3 linked regions of the Yarrowia lipolytica genome follow. The protein of the gene in region 3 purifies or fractionates together with the protein of the main gene of each other region. This does not show direct contact. Links are inferred from orthologs where the notes say so. Each region holds a gene or a part of one and is shown on either strand. Other genes may lie near its edges.

Evidence for each region.
Region 1: the proteins of YALI1_D30922g (region 3) and YALI1_F23133g purify together in Saccharomyces cerevisiae (affinity purification with mass spectrometry; 3 studies listed by BioGRID, with this or other methods). This does not show direct contact. The link is inferred for Yarrowia lipolytica from reciprocal best matches to the Saccharomyces cerevisiae genes IMP4 and IMP3.
Region 2: the proteins of YALI1_D30922g (region 3) and YALI1_E38020g purify together in Saccharomyces cerevisiae (affinity purification with mass spectrometry; 3 studies listed by BioGRID). This does not show direct contact. The link is inferred for Yarrowia lipolytica from reciprocal best matches to the Saccharomyces cerevisiae genes IMP4 and UTP13.

Annotation. Positions count from the first base shown.
Region 1 is NC_090775.1:2,311,541-2,314,638, forward strand, and holds YALI1_F23133g (uncharacterized protein), read left to right. Parts: upstream 1-1,800; coding exon 1,801-2,445; downstream 2,446-3,098. Other genes in the region: YALI1_F23109g (uncharacterized protein), read left to right, coding at 1-1,402; YALI1_F23157g (uncharacterized protein), read right to left, coding at 2,982-3,098. UniProt on the Saccharomyces cerevisiae protein: Required for the early cleavages at sites A0, A1 and A2 during 18S ribosomal pre-RNA processing.
Region 2 is NC_090774.1:3,799,195-3,803,789, reverse strand, and holds YALI1_E38020g (uncharacterized protein), read left to right. Parts: upstream 1-1,744; coding exon 1,745-4,087; downstream 4,088-4,595. Other genes in the region: YALI1_E38034g (uncharacterized protein), read right to left, coding at 1-412. UniProt on the Saccharomyces cerevisiae protein: Involved in nucleolar processing of pre-18S ribosomal RNA.
Region 3 is NC_090773.1:3,090,733-3,093,779, reverse strand, and holds YALI1_D30922g (uncharacterized protein), read left to right. Parts: upstream 1-1,579; coding exon 1,580-2,431; downstream 2,432-3,047. UniProt on the Saccharomyces cerevisiae protein: Required for the early cleavages at sites A0, A1 and A2 during 18S ribosomal pre-RNA processing.

The sequences.
Region 1 (3,098 bases), on a different chromosome or scaffold from region 3:
GTACGCTGACAAGGAGAAGCGAGAGATCATCACAAAGGCGCTGAAGGGCAACTACTACGACCTGGCCATCTCGTCTTACGGAAAGTACCTGCTGGTCAAGATGCTGCATTACGGATCTGCTGCCGTTCGACAATCTATTATTGACGAGCTGCACGGCCGGTTCCGAAAGCTCATGCGTCATAAGGAGGGTGCCTATGTGCTGGAGGATGCCTACAGAGACTACAGCACTGCTGCTCAGAAGCGACAAATCATCCAAGAGTTTTTCGGTGCCGAGTTTGCCGTTTTCCGAGACGCTGCTGGCACAAAGACCCTTAAGGATATTATCGAGGACGCCCCCGAGAAGCGACCCATCATCATGCGAAACCTGAACGAAACTATCACTGCTGCTGTCAACAAGGGTTCCATTGGTTTCACCGTCATTCATGCTGCCATGCTTGAGTACGTCAGCAACCTTGACACCAACAACTCGGAGAAGACCGAATTCATCGATCTGATTGGCGAGCAGTTTGCAGAGATGGTGCATACTAACGAGGGATCGCAGGTGGCTTGCAAGACTCTGGCCATGGCTTCTGCCAAGGAGAAGAAGGGTCTTCTCAAGTCGCTCAAGAGCTTTGCCGACACCCTGGCTGCTGATCAGTACGGACACATGGTCATGATGACTGCTTTTGACACCATTGACGATACCAAGAGTGTTGTTAAGGCCTTTTCTGGTGAGCTCTCCGAGAAGCCCGTGCATGAGCTGTTCATGGACAAGAACGGTCGACGACCCTTCCTGTATGCCATGCTAGGCCGAGACTCTCGATACTTCAACAAGCTGGTTCTGGATCAGCTCAAGCAGTACGATGAGATGAAGACCGCAACTGGTACTGCCAAGAAGGATGATGCTCTTCGACTGGAGGAGATCAACAAGGGAATGTCCCCTCTGATTCTCGAGGCCATTGCCAACAACGCTTACGAGCTCATGAACGACACCCTGGGTTCTCAGTTCATTTCTGAGGCTCTTCTGTCGTGTGACGGTGACAAGTCTGAGGCTATCGCTGCTCTTATGGAGGTTCTGTCTGCCGATCCCGCCGGTGACAACCACGTCATCAAGCAGCCCAACGCTCAGCGAGCTCTGCGAACCCTCATTCAACAGGGACATTGGAACAACAAGGAGAAGAAGGTAGTCAAGGTCGAGACTCCCATCGACTTCGGTGCCAAGTTCTACGATGCAATTGGGGATCACGTTGTCGCATGGGCCACTGGAGACGGTGCTTTTGTCATTGTGACTCTGTTGGAGAACCTGGAGGACGATAAGCTGAAGAAGGAGCTCAAAAAGACTCTCAAGGACAGTAAGAAGGAGATTGCTGCTGCTGCCGAGGATGGAAACAAGGGTTCCAAGCTCATTGTTGACCTGCTTTAAGCGAAAACACGTTGTATAAAGATATATTTGGTAATAGAGGTATGATAGGATAAGTTGAGGATACTGTTTTACTACAAGTAAAGAGTTGTTTGCCACTCGCGTACAAGTGCATACGATAGAGAGGGATGCTTTGATATATACATATATATTTTTTTTGGAAAGATCAATCCATAGATCAGAAATGTTGAGAATTTCCAAATGAAATAGAAGGAGATCGAAAAGGAAGTATTAACAAGTTACCAAGGTATGGCATATTTAATAGTTGGAAAATAAATAAATAAAAATAACTAAAAAAAATAAAAAATCAAACCAAAAACCAACACAAACAATACTACAAGTAGTCTCGGTGGTAGTCACACCAAATACCCATCTAAGCATTTTCCTTGATACTCGCTTCTATGCATGGCAAAACTCTATATCAAAAAAATCCCAAATTATTCTTCACGGTGCAGGGAAAGATATCACCACTTCTTCACAACACCTTTGACAAAATGGTACGACAGTTCAAGCACCACGAGGGCAAGCTGCTCAAGAAGGTCGACTTTGTCAACTGGAAGACAGATAATGGCCACCGTGAACAGCAGGTGATGGGCACCTTCCATCTGCAGGACCGAGACGACTACAACAAGTACAACAAAATCTGCGGTAAGATCCGACAATTAGCATACAAGCTATCTCAGCTCCAACCGGACGACCCTGTTCGAATCAAGCACGAAAAGCTGCTTCTCGACAAACTCTACCAGATGGGCATTCTTTCCACTAACACCACCGTTTCGCATCTGGAGACCAAGATATCTGTGTCTGCTATCGCCAAGCGACGACTCCCCGTCATCATGCACAAACTCAAGATGACCCAAAAACTGGACGCTGGAACTGCCATGATCGAGCAGGGTCACGTGAGAGTGGGTCCTCACATTGTCACCGACCCTGCGTTTCTGGTGACCCGAAACATGGAGGACTTTGTCACCTGGACCGACCGATCCAAGATCAAGAAGGCCACTCTCAAGTACCGAAACGAGCTCGACGACTTCAACACTATGTAAGTTTTTATTTATGCATGCTACTATTAGACGGAATGAGAAGGCGTGTAGAGAACTTGGAGAAGTAGGGGATAGTCCGCTTTTTTATTATTGTCAAGTCGATAAGAACACTATCAGGTGAAACGAAGACATTCATTGCTATATGTTCAACTAAATGACTTCAGATTTTGAGCGTCGTCTCCTTAATCACTGTGCTCTTGTCTGATCTCTCGGTTGTTGGTATTGTCTGGGCGAGTATGTCAGTTACGATACAAGTACTACCGTTGTAGATTCATATTTACAAGAAAGCCTACAAAAGATACACGCCGCTGGTACTTGAAGTCGTACTACTATACGATATGGTAGAAGCACAAGACTCTGCATCTCCTTGGTTCTGTCTCTCAGATTACAAGTGAGGCACTGGACCTATAGGCTAGCATTGTAGCCACAACCAAACCACTTAAATCGAAGTGATGACAATCAAGTGATCACTTTATACCACTAACTACTGTCGGGTCCCTGTGGTGACTCTATTATACCGTATGCTAATTATTTTCAGACTAAGCCGAAGCAGCCTGGGACTGGGACTCATGCACGGCCTCCAGCCACTGGGTGGGGCACTGGTAAGCCGAGTGACAGGGCACCAGGCGCACAAAGTCGCCGGGGGAGTACTGCAC
Region 2 (4,595 bases), on a different chromosome or scaffold from region 3:
CGGCAGTGTGGGCCATCTGGTACTTGGTGAGCATCATGAAGTGGTCATCGGCGTAATGCACTCCGGTGTGGCCCTCGGTGCCGACAGCAGTGCCAAAGAAGATGAGGTACTCGGTGACAGAGGCATGGAGCACAAACATGGATCCCATGGCTCCTCCGGCGTTGTTGAAGACCCACTCGTCAAAGTTGAGCTCGTTGATGAACTTGCCATATCGGTCGTGCAGAGAGGCGCCCAGATCGGTCAGAATGGCGGTCGAGTTTCCGTCGGGGTTTCGCTCCAGAGTCTGGTTGACCATGGTCATGAGCTCATCCTTGTCGAAGATGTATCTGTGTGGGAGCACGTTGATAAAGAGCCAGTTGGTGACCATGTACAGACCCACCAGCAGCAGGGAAATCAGACCGACGAATTTCATTGTGGCGGTTCGTACTGTCGGTGATAGCTAGTTGTAATGCGTGCCCCCCAGTCGCGTCTATATATACAAACACAATAGGCTTTGCCCAAATCACTTGCATGAAGAACCTTAGACATACGACCTGAGCGAGATGGGATGACATGACATGGCGTGTGGAGGTGACCGTCCGTGCATCCGCACCACCTTTTGTTGCAACTCGATCCCACCACGAATTCAGACTTGGGTTGTGTGGATTGTGTATGTGTGTGTGTGTGTGTGTGTACACGTGACCAACTCCATTCACTCCACTTCCAAAAGAAAAACACGTCTTAACCCCTTGTCTGGTCTCTCCCAGTTGTCTCCATTGCCTTCATAGTTAGCGCATGTTTTTTCACACCGGCGTTTCGCTTAAAGTTCCACCTTCGTATTCCTCGTTTGAAAAATCATACATGCCTGTTTCTTTCGTGTCGAACGTTACTGCACGATATTGTGCGTGCAGTGTGGGAGATTTGCGTAATACAGTGCAACGGCTCGGCGGGTGGGGGGGAGGTTGGAAACTCCGTGTCACGTGACGTGTTCTGAAGAAGCTCTCGGGTGGGTAGCAGGAAGATTTGCAAACAGTGTGCCAAGTACTGGCGGTATCGTACATACTGTACATGAGGACGGATCGTGACCACGTGACCGACAAGATCTGGAGTTATCTTGAATGGCGTATTTGTAGACGGCGTTCTATGTGATAGTTGTGTCTTCGTATCGTACTTGTACTTGTACTCGTAATAAATGGGGGAATGTGTGTTTTGTAGCTCGTATGACAGCCAAATAGGGGGCATATGCACTGAATACAAGGAAAAGTGATACTTGTATAAGTACAAATACAGTAGATGGAGAATGCAAGCCAAGAGTTTGACGATACAGTCACAAAAGGTATACTGCCGGCAATACACGAGCCATTGGATCAGTAAATCAATCGTTCAGTTTCTATTATGATCTGGGTTGAGGTGGGGTGGTGAGGGTAAGTAATTTAGGTGGTATTAGTTAGCTTAGGTGAAGTATGGTATATGTAATGTATATGCAGAAAAAAAAAAAAAAAAAGTGGAAGGACCATCAAAAATGGTCACAAATTGGAACTGGGAGTCTTAATAATCCAATAACTGCTCAAAGTGACTGCTCCAAGGCTGTCATTTTGGTCTGACTCCAGATCAATGCCACTAAGAGAGGCTACTCGTACTTCCTCCTCTTACATACATGGTTCTGGAAAAATTAATTAACGTTTGCAACATGCAAGATTGGAAAAAATTGGTGTGCTGAAATCCAACTGCACGAAACACATCTGCTATACTACCAAAAGACAAGATGGAAACGACGGAAAAGACTGCGTTCGAAGCCGTATCCGTGGAGCCTTTCTACACCGGTGGCAAGACCTCTCTCGCCGACGACGGGTACACCCTGGCCACCTCTTTTGGAGAGGACGTGGTGGTGACCAACATCAAAACTGGAGAGGAAATCTGCCGAATCGAGGGCGATAGTGAGATTCTGACGACTCTGGAAATAAGTCCCGATGCCCAATACCTCGTCACATGCTCCCGATCTCTGACAATGCGCACATACCGAATCCCCAGTGGAGAACTGGTTCGATCAGCCCGGGCCCATGACGCCCCAGTGATTGTCATGGCTATCGACAGCTCATCGAGTCTGGTGGCGACCGGAGGAGCCGAGGGAACCGTCAAGGTGTGGGATCTGGAGCGGGGATTTGTGACTCACAATCTCAAGGGCCATGGAGGAGTGGTTTCTGCATTGAAGTTTTTCGGCGAACAGGGCGGCTCAGTGTGGCGCCTGGCGTCCGGAGCGGACGACTGCAAGATCCGAGTTTGGGATCTCGTGAGCCGAAAGTGTCTCAAGGTGCTGGATTCGCATAACTCGGTCATTCGAGGTCTGTCCTGGAGCTCCGACGGTGGCATTCTTGTGTCTGGAGGCCGAGACAAGATCGTCAACGTGTGGGACGCCAACAAGTTCAAGCTGGTGCGAACCATCCCCGTGGGTGAGAGTATCGAGACAGCCGGTATCCTGAATGGCGAGGGTCTTCGAATCTATACTGGTGGCGAGATGGGAGTTGTGAAGATCTGGAACGGTCAGACTTCTGCTCTGATTGCTGCCCAGGTCCAGCCTGCAGTGCACAACAAGGAAAACGAGCGAGTGGGAGTGGTGGACATTCTGTATAAGACCGACAAGCTTGTGTCTGTGCTGTCAGACCAGACTTTTGTGGAGCTGGACGACGACCTAAAGGAGGTGCGACGTATTGTGGGTTTCCATGATCAGATCATCGATATGACTTATGTTGGCGAAGACGAGTCCAAGCTGGCGGTGGTCACCAACGCGCCCGACATTCGAATCCAGACCGTTGGAGGAATCGAAACCAACGTTCTGACTGGACATAGAGATAACGTCATTGCCGTGGACCGATCGTTTGACGGTACCTGGCTGGCTTCCTCTGGAAAGGATCACGAGGCTAGAATCTGGCACGTGCCCACTCTGACCTGCTTTGCTGTCTGCACCGGTCATGCTGGTTCTGTGGGAGGTGTTGCTCTTCCTAGACTTCCTCTTGAGGGTCGACCTCCTCAGTTCCTCATTACCGGCTCGCAAGATCTGACCATCAAGAAGTGGAACATTGCCAAGGACGGTACTGCGAAGGCCGAGTACACCCGAAAGGCCCACGAGAAGGATATCAATGCTCTGGACGTGTCTCCTAACGATAGACTGTTTGCTACGGCTTCTCAGGACAGAACTGCAAAGGTGTGGGACATGAACTCGGGTGAGGCTGTGGGAGTGCTGCGAGGACACAAGCGAGGCGTCTGGTCTATCAAGTTCAACCCCTACGAGAAACAGATTGTAACTGGATCGGGAGACAAGACCGTCAAGGTGTGGTCTCTGAACGACTTTTCGTGCCTGCGAACATTTGAAGGCCATACCAACTCGGTTCTGCGAACCGTGTGGACTTCTCTGGGCTCCCAGATTGTCTCCTCTGGAGGAGACGGACTCATCAAGGTATGGACTTATGCCTCTGGAGAATGTGCTGTCACTTTGGACAACCATGAAGACAAGGTGTGGTCTCTGGCTGTTCGAGGCTCCGATGACGGTGCCCAGATGGTCTCTGGAGACGGAGAGGGAACCATTACTGTGTGGAAGGATATCTCCGACGAGGAGAAGGCTGCCAAGAAGGCTGCTGCCGAGCTTCAGGTGGAGCAGGAGCAGCAGCTGGCAAACTACGTGCGGTCCAAGGACTGGGAGAATGCTATTCTGCTTGCTCTGACTCTGAACCAGCCCTACAAGCTTTTCTGTCTGTTCCGAGACGTGCTTGCTGATCGCCAGGACGAGGACTCCATCATGGGTCTGACTAAGGTCGACAATGTGATTGCTGGACTCAATGTCGAGCAACTGGAGCTTCTGATCAAGCGAGTCCGAGACTGGAACACGAATGCTCGATCGTCGGTGGTGGCTCAGCGGGTCATGAACTGCATTCTGGTTAACCACTCGGTTGACAAGCTCAGCCAGGTGCCCAAGATTTCCACCATGACAGACGCTCTCATTCCTTACTCGGAGCGACACTTTAACCGGGTCGATGAGATGTACGACGAGAGCTATCTGCTAGACTACGCTCTGAATGAGATGGACTTCCTGGACACTCCTCAGGTTGTGTAGGATGGAAATGGGGGCATTGTGAGGGACTAGGGACGGGTTATATAGGCATACCAATAGATATTGACATTATTGTGAGAACTGCGAGTGAACAGCACGAATCGTTCTGAACTTCGGAAAAAGATCTCGTGGCAGAGGGCTACATTGTAGTTTCTCGGGACGTATCCTCACACCGTATAGCGATCACGAGTCACGAGTGCCATAGAGCGAGTGCCACAATACGAATCACTGTGACCGTGTCTGTCGGACTCCGTCAATCACCATGACCGCAGAATATGCACTCGGATAGGACTCACAGTACAAGCCTATTGTATGTCGTCTTTGGATTCTGCTGCATCTGACTTTTTTCGCATATCTCCGTGTACAAGCAGTAGCTAAAATAACAGGGGGTGTATGGAGCTCTATAACGAGAGATATTTGGAAGATACAAACACTTGTAGTGAATAAGAGGTCAGTTCAGAACCTTGAGCGAGCATTCAGTATCAATTGTACCAGCTAAATAGTATTATAC
Region 3 (3,047 bases):
CGGTATATTTTAGTGTAGATATTATGGGGTGTATAGTGATAAAAAGTGGAGTTATGGGCTTCATTGTGCTCGTTCTATATGAAGCATTAGTTGGGATTTTAGTTGAGGTAAGGAGGTCTACAGTAGGAGGTATAGGAGGTCATTTTGCGAGTAAATGAGAAGCGATGGGGGTTAGTCTGTATGAGAGGAACTGATCGGCATTGTTGGCGGAGGATAATGCTGGAGTTGGTTAGGGTTACTATGGGGTGTTGTAGTAGAATGATGAGGGTGGTGTATTGTAGTGTTTGAGATATGGTCCTTCCAGATATTAAAACTAGCTGATTTGAGAAATGATTTGATCTTTGGAGAGCATGTTATTTTGGATCCCGTTTAATTTTCCCGAATCTGGTCATTTATCGTCTCATTAGAAAGGTAGGAAGTTCAACTACAGTAGTACCTACAGTACCTACAGTACAAGCCCTTGCTCGTCGACTTGCTCTTGCGATCGATTTGTAGATCGGAGAAAGTATCAGAAGATCTATTTAGACGGGTTATTGTTGTACACTTGAGTTGAAATCGTTCAAATCGGAAGAATATCCATGATTCTATAACAATCCTGTTCCTGCTCTTCTGTCTGAACTGAACGAAAGGCCGAAGAGATGATAATGAAGACTTGATATAATCTCAAGATAAATTTTAATTGATTTAATTTTCAACTAATCACCTCGACCCAGTTCAAATCGACCCAAATCTCGACCTGTTCGGTGATGTGGGTTCTGGCCGGAGATGCAACGGAGAAGGGAGAGGTTTTGAGGTGAAGCGGAATTATTGAAAAGAAGATAAATAGAATGTTTAGTCTGTCTCTCCACTTCAAGTGACAATCCCTTCTTTTATCCAGCATTCTAGAGCATGTTCAAACTGTTGGATCTGAGCCGTTCGGGAAAAGTCAGACCCGGAGCCTGGCGAAATATTCTGTCAATTATACAATACTTTCGTAGTACTCTTTTTTGATTCCTGGGAGCTCCCAAATCCGATAGGTCTTTCTGATCATCACTGTCTCCGTATAATTCGTTTTCCATGGAAAAATTACATTGATTGTCACTGGGTGGAAGGATTACAACGATTGTCATTGTGTTGGACGGGGCCACAACAATTCTCGAAAGCAAGTTTCTGTAGAAGTAGAGGAGTATCAGAGGAAACTATCGACCGGAAAATCACCAGTTTACATATATTCTTTTTGAGGTGCTTCCACCATTCGCCAGCATATCCTGACATTGAAGGCCATTTGGTCTACAGTGAAGACATCTCACAAGCACTCCCAACAGTTAGTTGAACACAACAAATGGCAATAAATGGGTCCAAACTGTTCATAATTTGACCGGAGAAAGCGGAGAATGATACAATGGTGAATTTTACATCTTTATCCGGGACCTTTCACTTCTTAAAGTGTCACATATAGCTTTTTATTGGCCACATGATATCCCTGTGGCCATCGAAATAAGTTTTCAGATTAAGCTTTTTCGTGGAAAAGAATTATGCATACAGATCTTTTTTTTTGTCAGTCTTCCCACAACCTTTACATCACCGCCACAAGCCCAGCATGATCAGAAGACAGGCCCGAGAACGGCGAGAGTATCTCTACCGAAAGTCGCTCCAGCTGCAGGAGGCGACCAAGATCCAGAAGCGGCAGCAGTTGAAGGCGGCGCTGGCCTCCGGTAAGCCGTTGCCCAAAGACGTGGCTGACGACGAAGAGCTTCGAAAGACCATTGCGTACGACGAGTCTGTGCAGGATGAGATTGACGACGAATATAGCGCCATGAGTGGCATCACCGATCCCAAGGTGGTGGTGACGACTTCTCGAGACCCGTCGACCCGTCTGTCTCAGTTTGCCAAGGAGGTGAAATTGCTGTTCCCCACTTCTATCCGGCTCAACCGAGGAGGAACCGTGTTGCCGTCGCTGGTTTCGGCTTGCAAGACGTCTGCTTCATCGGATCTCATTGTTTTGCACGAGCATCGAGGTGTGCCTACTGCCATGACGGTGTCCCATTTCCCCCATGGCCCCACCGCCTACTTTTCGCTTCATAACGTGGTTCTTCGACACGATCTGCCCGATACCGGCAACATGAGCGAGGTGCACCCTCATCTCATCTTTGACAACTTCACCACCGACCTGGGTAAGCGAGTTGTGCAGATTTTGAAGCATCTGTTTCCTCCCGGAGTGAAGAAGGACTCAGCTCGAGTCATCACATTTGCCAACCGAGGCGACTTTATCAGTGTCCGGCAGCATGTCTACGTCAAAACCCGGGAGGGTGTTGAGCTTGCTGAGGTCGGACCGCGGTTTGAAATGAGACTCTATGACCTGAGACTGGGCACTCTGGAGAACAAGGATGCCGATGTCGAGTGGAGAATGCATGGATTTATGCGAACTGCCAATAAGAAGGATTACCTTTAAGTGGCAAGACTGAAGGTCTGAGTGGACAAGAGCCGATGAAGGCCTACTGGACGACTTATTGATCGCTGGAGGAAGTAATATCTTGTCAGCACTTGTGCGGTTATGACAGCTTTTGGAAAGCAGTTACAGAAATACAGGGAGTTTGATAAAATGTCAAAAAATGAGTCGGTTTTATCTGAACCACCTTTCTCACGCTGACTCGACATCAGACTGTCCACCGGCTGGCTTCAACACAATACTGTGTGTTCATACACACTGATAGAAAGGATATAGTATTTATGAGCATATTAATAGTGACAGAGTGTAGAAGTAAAGCTCCACGTACAGTTTCCAGAAGAGTTTTCAGAAGAGTGGGGTTTTGATGTTCTTGAATGTTGGGACGAGGTTCGGAGGTGTTTTTCGTCTGAACCTCAGCATCGTCCAAATGCTCTAACAAGCCCAGAATTGGTGTCAGACTGATCGCAAAACTCTGCTCGTTCCAATGGTATGTTCCATAATACGCCTGGACCATTATCCGTTGTGTACTGTACTGTACTGTAGTCGTGCGTTTCCTCCACCCCTGAGATTTCACTTCTAACCTGTTCTCGAAAGGTGTTAGAAGTGACCGGATCCGCAT